Canis lupus familiaris: one gene and its partners. The protein of the gene in region 2 binds, or shares a complex with, the protein of the main gene of each other region. Links are inferred from orthologs where the notes say so. Each region holds a gene or a part of one and is shown on either strand. Other genes may lie near its edges. The genes, in order: ARID2, SMARCA4 and SMARCD2.

Region 1 (3,680 bases), on a different chromosome or scaffold from region 2:
CCCTTTTTTATATCCCTTAATGGTATCATTATTAAACAGCAATAAATACGAAGAGCACCCTCTGAGTTTTAAATCACCACCACCACCTAAAGACCCTCTATGAGTAAGCAAGCATTAAAAATAAAAGATGACCTCATAATAGGTTACAATATGAAAATATTCTTAGCAGAAAAAGGAAAAAATAAAGCTTAATCAGAAAATACAATATCTAAAGCGTACCACACATCAACTAAGAAACTTACTTTGTCAAAGACTGTCAAAAAAGGAGGGAGAGAATGAAAGAAAATCCAAATCATAGTATTCCATTTCATAGTATCCTTAATCTTCCTACATATATAATAATCCTTCTGAACGTTTTTAAGTCACTCAAAAATCCCAAAGAACTTATTCTAAAAAGAATCCTGGTCACCTAAGGCACCAAACATGCTATGCTGTGTGTAAATATTCTACTGAAAAACTACTCTGTTACACGGTTCCATGCAAGAGGTATCATTTTTGTTTTGTTTGAGAATCTTAAAGTGAGGATTTTAAAAGGCAAAGGAGTTTCCGAAGCCAAGCAAAAATTTTCCCAGGGGATACAAAGTTTCATTAACTATCTTAACTCTTTTACTAAGCATCACCTCTCTGCCCCTCCGTGGATATCAACCAATCAATAACAATGTCACAAAAGAACGTTTACCAAGATGGGAGGTGGGGTGTCACCTGTAATGATCCCGTATGAAAAATGTAAACAGTCCTAAAATAGGCGAGGAAAACTTTCACCTTCCTATACAACCTCACTTTATGGATATTTGATGTTTGTCGGACTGAAAAGATGAAGACAAGTTTAGAAACTGGTGTGCAAGGTTTGTTTGGGGGGAGTGGGGGGCTTATCCCTACCACCACCACCAAAAAACAAACAAACAAACAACAACAACAACAACAACAAAAAAAACACCCACAAATCTCCCCTTGAGTCCCTCAGTTCCAAATACTGTGCAAGAGTCACTACTACTCACCGCAAGTAATACTGTTTTAAAGCAAAGGCAGCGTTAGAACAACTTCTGGGAAAGTTGAACTCTTCAACAATTTCTCCCCACTGATTCTTCTCAGAAACCTGTTAAAAACACAGCCACACTTGTCTGAGAGTGCACCGTCCAGGGAGACTGCAGCCTAACCGTGAAATAAATACCCATTCTACAGAGATCTGAGGATACACCACCTCGGGCATCAGTGGGTGTTTGGGATCGATCCGTGAGGAGAACTAAGCAAGGGAGTGTGTGTGTGGGGGGGGGGGGGGCTCGAATCACTGTGTTTTCACCCGAGAGCCCTGTATTTAATAGCACTTGTTTTGTTTGGGGGGGGGGGGGGCGGCGGCGGCGGGGGGCCCGGGAGGGGGTGTGTGGGGGAGACTGGTGGGTTTGTTTTGTTTTTGAAGCCCGGACAATAACCAATCGCAAGTCCCTCTGTCGCCCCCTTTTAAATCTCAACGCGGTCCGTTTACACTAAAAAAAAAAAAAAAAAAAAGTTCAAAAGGATCAATACTGTTCCGGACAGCGACGTCGGCGGGTTCCGGGGGGGGGGCCGGGCCCGGGGCCGCTCCCGATCCCTCTCCCACATCTCTCCATCTCCATAGGCCCTTCTTTGAGGCCTACAGCTTCTGCCTAGCCTTGAAGCCTAAGATGGCTATTTGGAGACAGGTCCTGGTTTCTTTTGTTAGCCGTATAAACCGAGGGCGACGGGGCCGAGGCTGTGCCCCCGGCCGCCGGGATCATTTGGCGGCCGATTATCGATGTGAAACCTGCCCGCGCTAATTTTGAGTTGCACGAAAACTGCTCTCAGAGTCTGTGTGTCTCTGTGTCTCCGCCTGTGCTAGAGCGGCAGCCGCGGCGGAGCCGACTCGCGAGCGAGCGGGCGGGCGGGCGCGCGGGCGGGCGGGCGGGCGGGCGGGCGCGGGGCGGCGGGGCTCGGCCGGGCGGCGGGGCTCGGGCGGGCGCCCCCTGCACGCCCGCGCTCCCCGCCGCGGCGCTCGGACCCCGCCGGGCCGGCCGGCCGGGCGGGCGGGCGGGCGGGCGGCGGGCAGGGCGCGAGCCGGCGCCGGGCCGCCCGCCCGCCCGAGCCCCGCCGCCCCGCCGCGCGCACGCGAGCCACCAGGCCAAAAAAACAGCCCCGCCGCCCGGCCGCCTCCGTGCCACCGGCTGCGAGCGCCGAGAACGCCTTTTGCCCCCGCGGGCCACCGGGCCCCCCCCGCCCCGGGCCCCGAGCGCCCACTCCGGGGTCAAAGGAGACTTTTCGGAGCAGGCCAGCGAGAGGGAAATACGAATTAAAACTTCCACTCACCTTCGCGAATCCGCCTAAAGTAGTGACTCTGGTGTAGAGACCGTGAAGATCCAGCTCCTTCCCACCCACCGCAGGGATTTTTTTAAAAGGCGACCTGCGGGAGAGGAGACGAGAGAGAGAGAGAGAGAGAGAGAGGAGAGGAGAGCGAGAGGAGAGCGAGAGAGAGCGAGAGAGAGAGAGAAAGCCCCGCACTTGTCAGCCGGGACCCCGCGCCCGGCCCGGGCGGGAGAGCCCCGTTCGCCCCGGCTCGCCCCGGCGCTGCCCCCCCGGCTCTGCGCTCACCCTCTGCTGTGGTGGAACTGCCGCAGCTCGTCCAGGAAAGCGAGTCCCTTTCTCCGCTCGTCCGGAGGCGCCTTCCCCGTCGAGTTTGCCATTATTTTTGCAAAGGAGGTTTCAAAAAAAACCCGGATCGGCGTCTTAAAAGCGGCCCCCGCTCCCCGCGCGTCCTACCAGAGCCCGGAGCCCATTCCTCGGCCGGCGGCGGCGGCGGGGCTCAGTCATGGGCCGGCGGTGGCGGCGGCGGCGGCGGCGGCGGCGGCGGCGGCGGCGGCGGCGGCGCAGGGAGGGAGGGAGGGAGGGGGAGGAGGAGGAGGAGGAGGGGAAGGAGGGAGCCGGAGGCCGGGGGGAGAGGAGGGAAGGAGGGAGGGGAATTTCTAAAAAAGTTTAAAGAAATCGGAGCGAAACTAGAGGGGCAGGCGACTGCCGGATCGGCGCGAAGCCGCGGGGCGAGCGCGGCCCCCACCCCTTCCTTCCCTCCCTCCCTCCCTCCCTCCCCGCGGCCCGGCTCTCGCCCGCCTCTCAGCGCCGCCGGCCCAGGCGGCTCGGCCTGCGGACGCGATTCAACATGGGGCTGCTGCCGGGGGCGCGCGGGCGGGCGAGGGGCCGGGCGAGCCGACGGTGAGCGGCCGGAGGCCCGGAGTTTCGGCGGCGGCGGCGGCGGCGGCGGCGGGGCTGGGGCAGGCGGGGCTGGGGGTGGGGAGGGGGAGGTCTGTGTGGTGGTTTGTGGAGAGAGGGGTGACAGCGTGTATTCCGGCCGCGGCTCCGCGGGGCCCTCGCACACATTCACGCGCGGCCTGGGCCGCGGCGGCCGGGGCGTCCCCGGGCAGAAAGCACCGGCGGCGGCCGAGCCGCTGCGCGCCGCCCGCCCGCTTCCTTCCCCGCCAGCCTCGCTCTCTGCCGCCGCCGCCAGCGCCGCCGCCGCCGCCGCCGCCGCCGCCGCCACGGCCGGGCAGCCAGCGCCGCACAGCGACCCCCGAGGGCCGGCCGCGGCACTGCGCCCGGCTCCACACCGCCCCGGCAGCTCCTCGCGGGGAACAATAGACTCGGCTCGCCGGGCTTAGGGTTCATCTGCAATGTGCCGC
Region 2 (3,139 bases):
AACCCTTTCCCAATTGGGGCCTGGGACGTGAGACTCAGAGAAAAGCATGGCTGTGTTAATTTAGGAATGACTACCAGTTCCTCCCTCCCTTTGAAGGATCCCAGTGAGCATATGCTTCTAAGGGCTCTGAGAAGGTCTGCAGTAATGCTGGAAATGCATGTCCTTTGTTTAAGGCAGCATTTCCCTCAAATTTAGGACTGTAAAATCTCTTTTCCGTGTAGCATCTACCCTAAGCACAGTCAGGAAAAGTTTGCTAAGTTGCAGTAATGTATGTGTTAATTTCATTGCAGGAAAGGACACATCCACAGGATTCCTTTTAAGGAAGTCCTAGTGAATTCAAAGTAAAATTCAAACACACCCACCAGATTGCTCACAGGTCATCTTGGATGGGTTAGACGGAGTTTATTTTCGCTAATCTGCTTATTGTTCTTTCTGCATCTTTTAGTAAGGAATACGCTGCTTTTATAATTGACAAAATATTCCAAGTGGTTGAGAATTCTATTGTTTTTTTTTTCTTTTTTCTATTGTTTTTTTAAAGACTTTTTAAAAATTTATTTATTTATTTATTTGTTTGTTTATTTAATTTATTTATTTATGATAGTCACACAGAGAGAGAGAGAGAGAGAGGCAGAGACACAGGCAGAGGGAGAAGCAGGCTCCATGCACAGGGAGCCCGACGTGGGATTCGATCCCGGGTCTCCAGGATCGCGCCCTGGGCCAAAGGCAGGCGCCAAACCGCTGCGCCACCCAGGGATCCCCTAAAGACTTTTTATTTATTTATTCATGAGAAACACACAGAGACAAAGAGGCACAGACAGAGGCAGAGGGAGAAGCAGGCTCCACGCAGGGAGCCCGACATGGGACTTGATCCCGGGTCCCCAGGATCATGCCCTGGGCCGAAGGCGGCGCTAAACCGCTGAGCCATCCAGAATGCCCTGGGAATTCTATTTTAATCAATTTATTGTTTTCGTTTGTTTTTTATTTTTTAAAAGTCTTTTTATTTTTAAAGATTGTATTTATTTATGCATGAGAGACACACAGAGAGAGAGGCATAGACATAGGCAGAGGGAGAAGCCGGCTCCTCACAGGGAGCCAGATGCAGGGCTTAATCCCTGGACCTGGGATCATGACCTGAGCCAAAGGCAGAGGCTCAACCACTGAGCCACCTGGGTGTTTCCTTGTTTGTTTTTTAAAAGGAGAAAGATTTATTCGATCTGAAGAGAAACCAGAGTATTATTTGTTTTTTAAAGTAGGCTCCATGCCCAGCATCGAGCCCAACATGGGGCTTGAACTCATGACCTGAGGGATCAACAAACACCCAAAATGGGGCTTGAACTCATGACCTGAGGGATCAACAAACACCTGAGCTCAGATCAAGAGTTGGACGCTCAACTGAGAAACCCAGGCACCCCTTAATCAGTAAATTTTATTTATTTTTTAAAGATTTTATTTATTTATTCATGAGAGACAGAGAGAGAGAGACAGAGAGACAGAGAGAGAGGCAAAGACACAGGCAGAGGGAGAAGCAGGCTCCATGCAGGAAGCCTGACGTGGGACTCGATCCCAGGACTCCAGGATCACACCCTGGGCTGAAGGCAGACGCTTATCTGCTGAGCCATCCAGGGATCCCCTTATCCAGTCAATTTAAAACAGAGCAAGGGGCATGCTTAATTGGAGCCCAGCTGCAAAGACAGCAAAAATTAGGAGTGGGTGCCCTCCAACCCAGGTGCCTCCTCACCAGGGAGCCCTCCAGGTTGAAGGTCTGAGCATTCTGGCACAGCAGCATGACGTCCTTCTCCAGGTCATTGAGGCTGCGGTACTTGTGGTTGCGGATGCGTTCCTGTGGGTGATGGGAGAGGCAGCCTTAGCTTGGGAATTTGCCTTGTGCCCAGGGACCTTGAGGCCAGGAATCCCTTTGCCTCATAAGGTCATGGGCCCAGTCTTTTGGGTGCTTCTGTAGACTTGGAAGCCTGGGCCCACTGAACACAAGAGCTGCACTGCTGAAGCTTAGGCCATGGATAACCCTGAAGGAGCTCTGAGGAATCCCAAGAGCCTGTGACTAGGATCCCGGCCAGACAGCCCAGGCTCTGCTCAGTCTGCTCTGTGGTCATCTTTCCCATGCACCCCGGGGGGGCCCATATTGGGGAGGGACTGGGTCAGATTCCCCAAACATCCCTGTAGAGAATCCCCACTTCCCACATCTTATGCCAGGGTTACCTTTATCTTCTTGAAGTCCACAGGCTTGCGGATGAGCTCGTAATACTCGGGCAGCTCCTTGCGGGAGGGCAGCTGGATGAACACCTCGCTGAGCTGACGTCCACTACTACTGCAAGGTGGGACACAGTGGGCGTCACTCACAGGCCCTGCCTGCTGGGGGAGCCCCCACTTGGCCACCACCCATTGCTTGAGGAATGAGAAATTCAAAGCACTTTGGAGTTATTTCCTGTACATGTACTGTCTTGTGAGTTCTGGAACATTCTTGAGAGGAAAACATGCAAAGAGAGGCCAGGAATGCATTTGAACGCAGGCTCTGCCCTCATCCAACCTCCAAAGCCCCTGGAGGAAACATTGCCAAATGCTGTGCAATAGAAGCCTTGGCACTCCAAAGAGGTAGAATCATGATTACACCTATGTACTTTGCAAAAATCAGTTTGCTTATGGTGGTTGGGAGCAGTAAGTGCCAGTTCTCAAAGAGAGACCAGTTTTTGCAAGTTTTGCAAGCATGTCTCTCATAGGCAGCACTTAGGAGCAGTGAACTTCAGAGAATTTGGCAAAACCCGTGGAGGAGAAATGCCCCCTGGAAAGACCCTAGCGGAAGACCTGAGCGGTTTTCTAGTTCTTGCAATTGGGAAAGTACTGGTTTTTCACGAGGGAGCAGAGAAAAGACACTGTGAGCAACCCTGAGATGTGGCAGGGTCTTAAGTGTTGTCTCCTGGGCCTCACATATGCAGGTGCCGTGCACTTGGCCACCAGGCTGTGCCACGTCCAGGTCTGGATCTGTCTGGGGCCAGGAGCTTGAAGGGACATCACTCCTCAGGCCTCCCTGAGGAGAGAGTGAGCAGGCACTTCAAGGACTGGCAGACAGGAGAAGACTACTCTTATGAGTACAGTCTCTCTTTTTGGAGACTGGAGACAGGGA
Region 3 (3,646 bases), on a different chromosome or scaffold from region 2:
GGCAAGACCAAGCTACGACTTCATGAGCTGTAAGTACCCCCCCACCCCCGGGCCCCTTTTCTCTCTTGGGAGAAGCCTGGGGCCCTGGCAAGCCTAGGGGGGCTGTGTGCCTGGGAAGTCTAGAGCAGATGTCTGGGAGGAGCCTTTTCCACCCCCTGCCGCCTTGACTTGGGGCTTCCTGCTGCCGGAGCACCTGCCTGGGAGGGACGGGTAGTGCCGGGAGGTTTTGTGTACACCCCAGTGCATGGCTTCCCAGGGACCACAGGGCCCTGGCTTCCTCTCTGCAGACCCCACTGCTTCTGTTGCTCCTCCTCTGGCTTGGGGTGGGGAAAATGTGTCTAGGATGTCTGGAGCCTGGGCTTACAACTGTGGCCACACTAGAGGTTTTTTCTGTAATCTCTGGCCATGGCTCATTAAGGCTGAGAAACAGGCTTTCACCTTTGAACAGCTCAGATGAATCTTTTCGTGATGAGGAGAAGTTGTGGCAGGACTCCCGAGCCCCCCCCCCCCCCCCCATGTTTAACTCCTCCTCCCACCTGCTCTTCTTTGCCCTTCCCTCCATCTCTGGTTATTTTTCTCCATCTCTGCCTCTGGTCAAGAGTCTGACCCTCTGTGCCGAGAACATGAGTTCAGTGCTAGATGAGAAAGTGGGGGAAGAATCTCATCTCCATGATACTGGGTGGGAGGGTGTGTGATACAGGGGGGGTCCTCTGATTTGGTGCAATTCCACACCCAGCCTGGCTTGGTTGGGTAGTTGTGCCGGTTGCATAATCTGGGCCCTGGGGCCAGCCCTGTGAAACTGCCAGGGACAGTGTGTGCAAGGCAGAGCTGCCAAACAGGCCTTGCCGGCAGCAGCTGTGGAGAGGGGGGCTGAGGGCCGGGGTTACTCCCAGAAATGTTGGGGAGCTGGGTTTGGATGGGAAATCCTTCTGCGGGCTTCTACAGAAGCCGTTTTTGTCACCCAGATTCCTGGTGGCCCAATGAGTGATCTCTTATCCCAGGATAATCTCTCCATTCTCCAGTTTGAGGTTGTGGGGCTGGGTTAAAGCCCAGCAGCCTCAGCTGCCAGGTGGTGCGTAGACCACAGGGTCCAGGGGCCAGCTGCTCTCCCACAGGCCACCCCGGAGCCCCAGCTCTCCTCTTGGGGTCTTCCGTGTTGGGGTAGGGAGCAGGGCAGCCCAGAGCTAGAGAGAAGGGTCCGGTTCTGGGCTCTAAGTAGGGGCCATATGGTGACCAGATGGTCTCTGTGCTCCGCCTGAGGCCACCCCCTCCAGCTGGGACGTGCTCCAAGCCTTCCTGCTGGAGCTTGCTCACCTGGGGTAGGCTTGCCAGCCCTGTGGACGGCTGTCCTCCCCGTGGTCACACCACTGCGCTGGTGCCAGGGGATGGAGGCTGGGGTTGTGCCTGTTCATGTCACACCACAGCCTCCACCTGGCTGGGACACTGCCCCACGCCATGCTTTTCTCTCAAACTGGGAAGGAAAAGGCCTGCGGTGCCGTCTGAGGGCGTGGGGACTGGCTGTAGAGCCTCACTGCCACTGCCGGCTGGTCCCGGGAGCAGGGTACGGCCCCAGGGGGCTGGAGGGTGGTGACAGGCCCTTCCCTCTCGGCAGGACTCTCCTCCCACCCCTGGGTGCGGGCAGGCCTCATTGGCTGCCAGCGATGCCCGGGTGGGGGGGCGGGGGCAGGGCAGGTGTGGTTTACATTTCTGCCCTCCAGCACCTGCTCTCCTTTGTTCCCAGCCCTCCCACTTGAGCTCCACAGTGTGCTGCTGTGGGCCAGCCCCGGGCCCAAGAGAAGGATGGAGAGAATGGGCTGTGGGCCCCGGGGTGCCCTGCCGCTGACCTATGCGCCCCCTTTGGTTTGCTTCCCCCAGCGGCCTGGTATGTCACCGGGGAGCCGGATGCCCATGGCTGGCTTGCAGGTGGGACCCCCTGCCGGCTCCCCATTTGGCACAGCTGCTCCACTTCGACCTGGCATGCCACCCACCATGATGGACCCATTCCGAAAACGCCTGCTGGTGCCCCAGGCCCAGCCCCCAATGCCCGCCCAGCGCCGGGGGTAAGACCATCCTGTTTCTCCTCTCTCTACCCAGCTCAGCTCTAGTGGTAGCAGAGCAGTTCCTTCTGCCCTAAGAGCTCTGATAACTGAGGAAGACTCCTGGCTCTTCCTGGGGAGGAACCCAGGGGCTGGAAGGGTGGGTGGGGGGAGGTGTGTTTGGACCAATGAGGTCTTAAACGAGTTTTTGTCCTCCCTAGGCTAAAGAGGAGGAAGATGGCAGATAAAGTTCTACCTCAGCGAGTGAGTATGTTGGGCGGGGGCCGACGAGGCCTGCCCAGTGGCTGGCAGACTGTGGGTGCTATCAAGCTCCCCCAATCCTGGGATGGGCGAGCAGGGAGCCAGAGCTGCTGCTTAAACAAGCCAAATTCCTTCCTTCCTCCAGATTCGGGAGCTTGTCCCAGAGTCTCAGGCGTACATGGATCTCTTGGCTTTTGAGCGGAAGCTGGACCAGACCATTGCCCGAAAGCGGATGGAGATCCAAGAGGCCATCAAAAAGCCTCTGACGGTGCGTGTGCAGCCCTGGCCAGTCCTTGGCCCTCAGACTTCTCTGCCTCTCCTTGGCCTTGATTGCCAGAGGCCAAGCATGGGGCTGTGATTTCTTGCACTGCCGGATGCAGCCCATTAGTGAAGCATGAACTCAATTTCATGTGGTGGGACCAGCATGTTTTTAACAAAATACAAAATAGAAGTTCTAGGGCAGCTTGGGTGGCTCAGCAGTTTAGCACCGCCTTTAGCCCCAGGGCGTGATCATGGAGACCCGGGATCGAGTCCTGCATCCGGCTCCCTGCATGGAGCCTGCTTCTTCCTCTGCCTGTGTCTCTGCCTCGCTCTCTCTCTCTTTCTCTCTCTCTCTCCCGTGAACAAATAAATAAAATCTTAAAAAAGTAGAAGTTCTAATACTTCACAGTAGTATAGTACTTACCATAGTGGTGAAAATGTCATTTTTTTTTTTAAGATTTTATTTATTTATTCACGAGAGACAGAAAGAGAGGCAGAGACATAGGCAGAGGGATAAGCAGGCTCCATGCAGGAAGTCTGACGTGGGACTCAATCCCAGAACTCGGGGATCATGCTCTGAGCCAAAGGCAGATGCTCAACCGCTGAGCCACCCAAGCGTCTCAGAAAATATCATTTCATAACATTTTGTTTCAGATATTTGTGTATGTATGTGGATCCTTGATCATGATTGAAAGCGTGATTCTTATGGATTGTGGTCAGAAGTTTGCAGGGCAAGACTAGAGGGTAGATAAGGGTAATTCCAGTCTCCTCCCACACCTCCCCACTCCTTTTAAAAAATAATACTCTAAAACAGTCCCCTGAGTAATGAAAGCTTTCCAGAGACAAGGTTACTTTGGGGCCTGATGACTGAGTTGTGTTTAAAGTGTGAGCTGGAAGCTTCTGATTTGCCCGATAAAACCCTGTATGTCCCTGTCACCCCACCGATCCCACTGTGCTGGAATTCGGAAGTCCCATCTGCCTCCCCCAGGACTGTGAGTTCCTTAAAGTCTGGGCCTGGGATTTCTGACTCCTGGTTTCCAGTGCCTAGCAAGGTGCCTGGCCCCTCATCCACAGGCAGTATCCATGCT

What was found.
Region 1: SMARCA4 (region 2) and ARID2 share a complex: the UniProt entries of both Homo sapiens proteins name them as parts of the SWI/SNF-B (PBAF) chromatin remodeling complex. The link is inferred for Canis lupus familiaris from reciprocal best matches to the Homo sapiens genes SMARCA4 and ARID2.
Region 3: SMARCA4 (region 2) and SMARCD2 share a complex: the UniProt entries of both Homo sapiens proteins name them as parts of the BAF complex. The link is inferred for Canis lupus familiaris from reciprocal best matches to the Homo sapiens genes SMARCA4 and SMARCD2.

What each region holds. Positions count from the first base shown.
Region 1 is NC_049248.1:37,971,102-37,974,781, reverse strand, and holds the start of ARID2 (AT-rich interactive domain-containing protein 2), read right to left. Parts: upstream 2,845-3,680; 5' UTR 2,694-2,844; coding exon 2,602-2,693; intron 2,414-2,601; coding exon 2,320-2,413; intron 1,097-2,319; coding exon 999-1,096; intron 1-998. UniProt on the Homo sapiens protein: Involved in transcriptional activation and repression of select genes by chromatin remodeling (alteration of DNA-nucleosome topology). Required for the stability of the SWI/SNF chromatin remodeling complex SWI/SNF-B (PBAF).
Region 2 is NC_049241.1:50,578,713-50,581,851, forward strand, and holds part of SMARCA4 (transcription activator BRG1), read right to left. Parts: exon of another isoform or gene 2,327-3,139; coding exon 2,218-2,326; exon of another isoform or gene 1,841-2,217; coding exon 1,739-1,840; exon of another isoform or gene 1,568-1,738; intron 1-1,567. UniProt on the Homo sapiens protein: ATPase involved in transcriptional activation and repression of select genes by chromatin remodeling (alteration of DNA-nucleosome topology).
Region 3 is NC_049230.1:15,132,070-15,135,715, forward strand, and holds part of SMARCD2 (SWI/SNF-related matrix-associated actin-dependent regulator of chromatin subfamily D member 2), read left to right. Parts: exon of another isoform or gene 1-29; intron 30-1,875; coding exon 1,876-2,060; intron 2,061-2,257; coding exon 2,258-2,300; intron 2,301-2,442; coding exon 2,443-2,565; intron 2,566-3,646. UniProt on the Homo sapiens protein: Involved in transcriptional activation and repression of select genes by chromatin remodeling (alteration of DNA-nucleosome topology).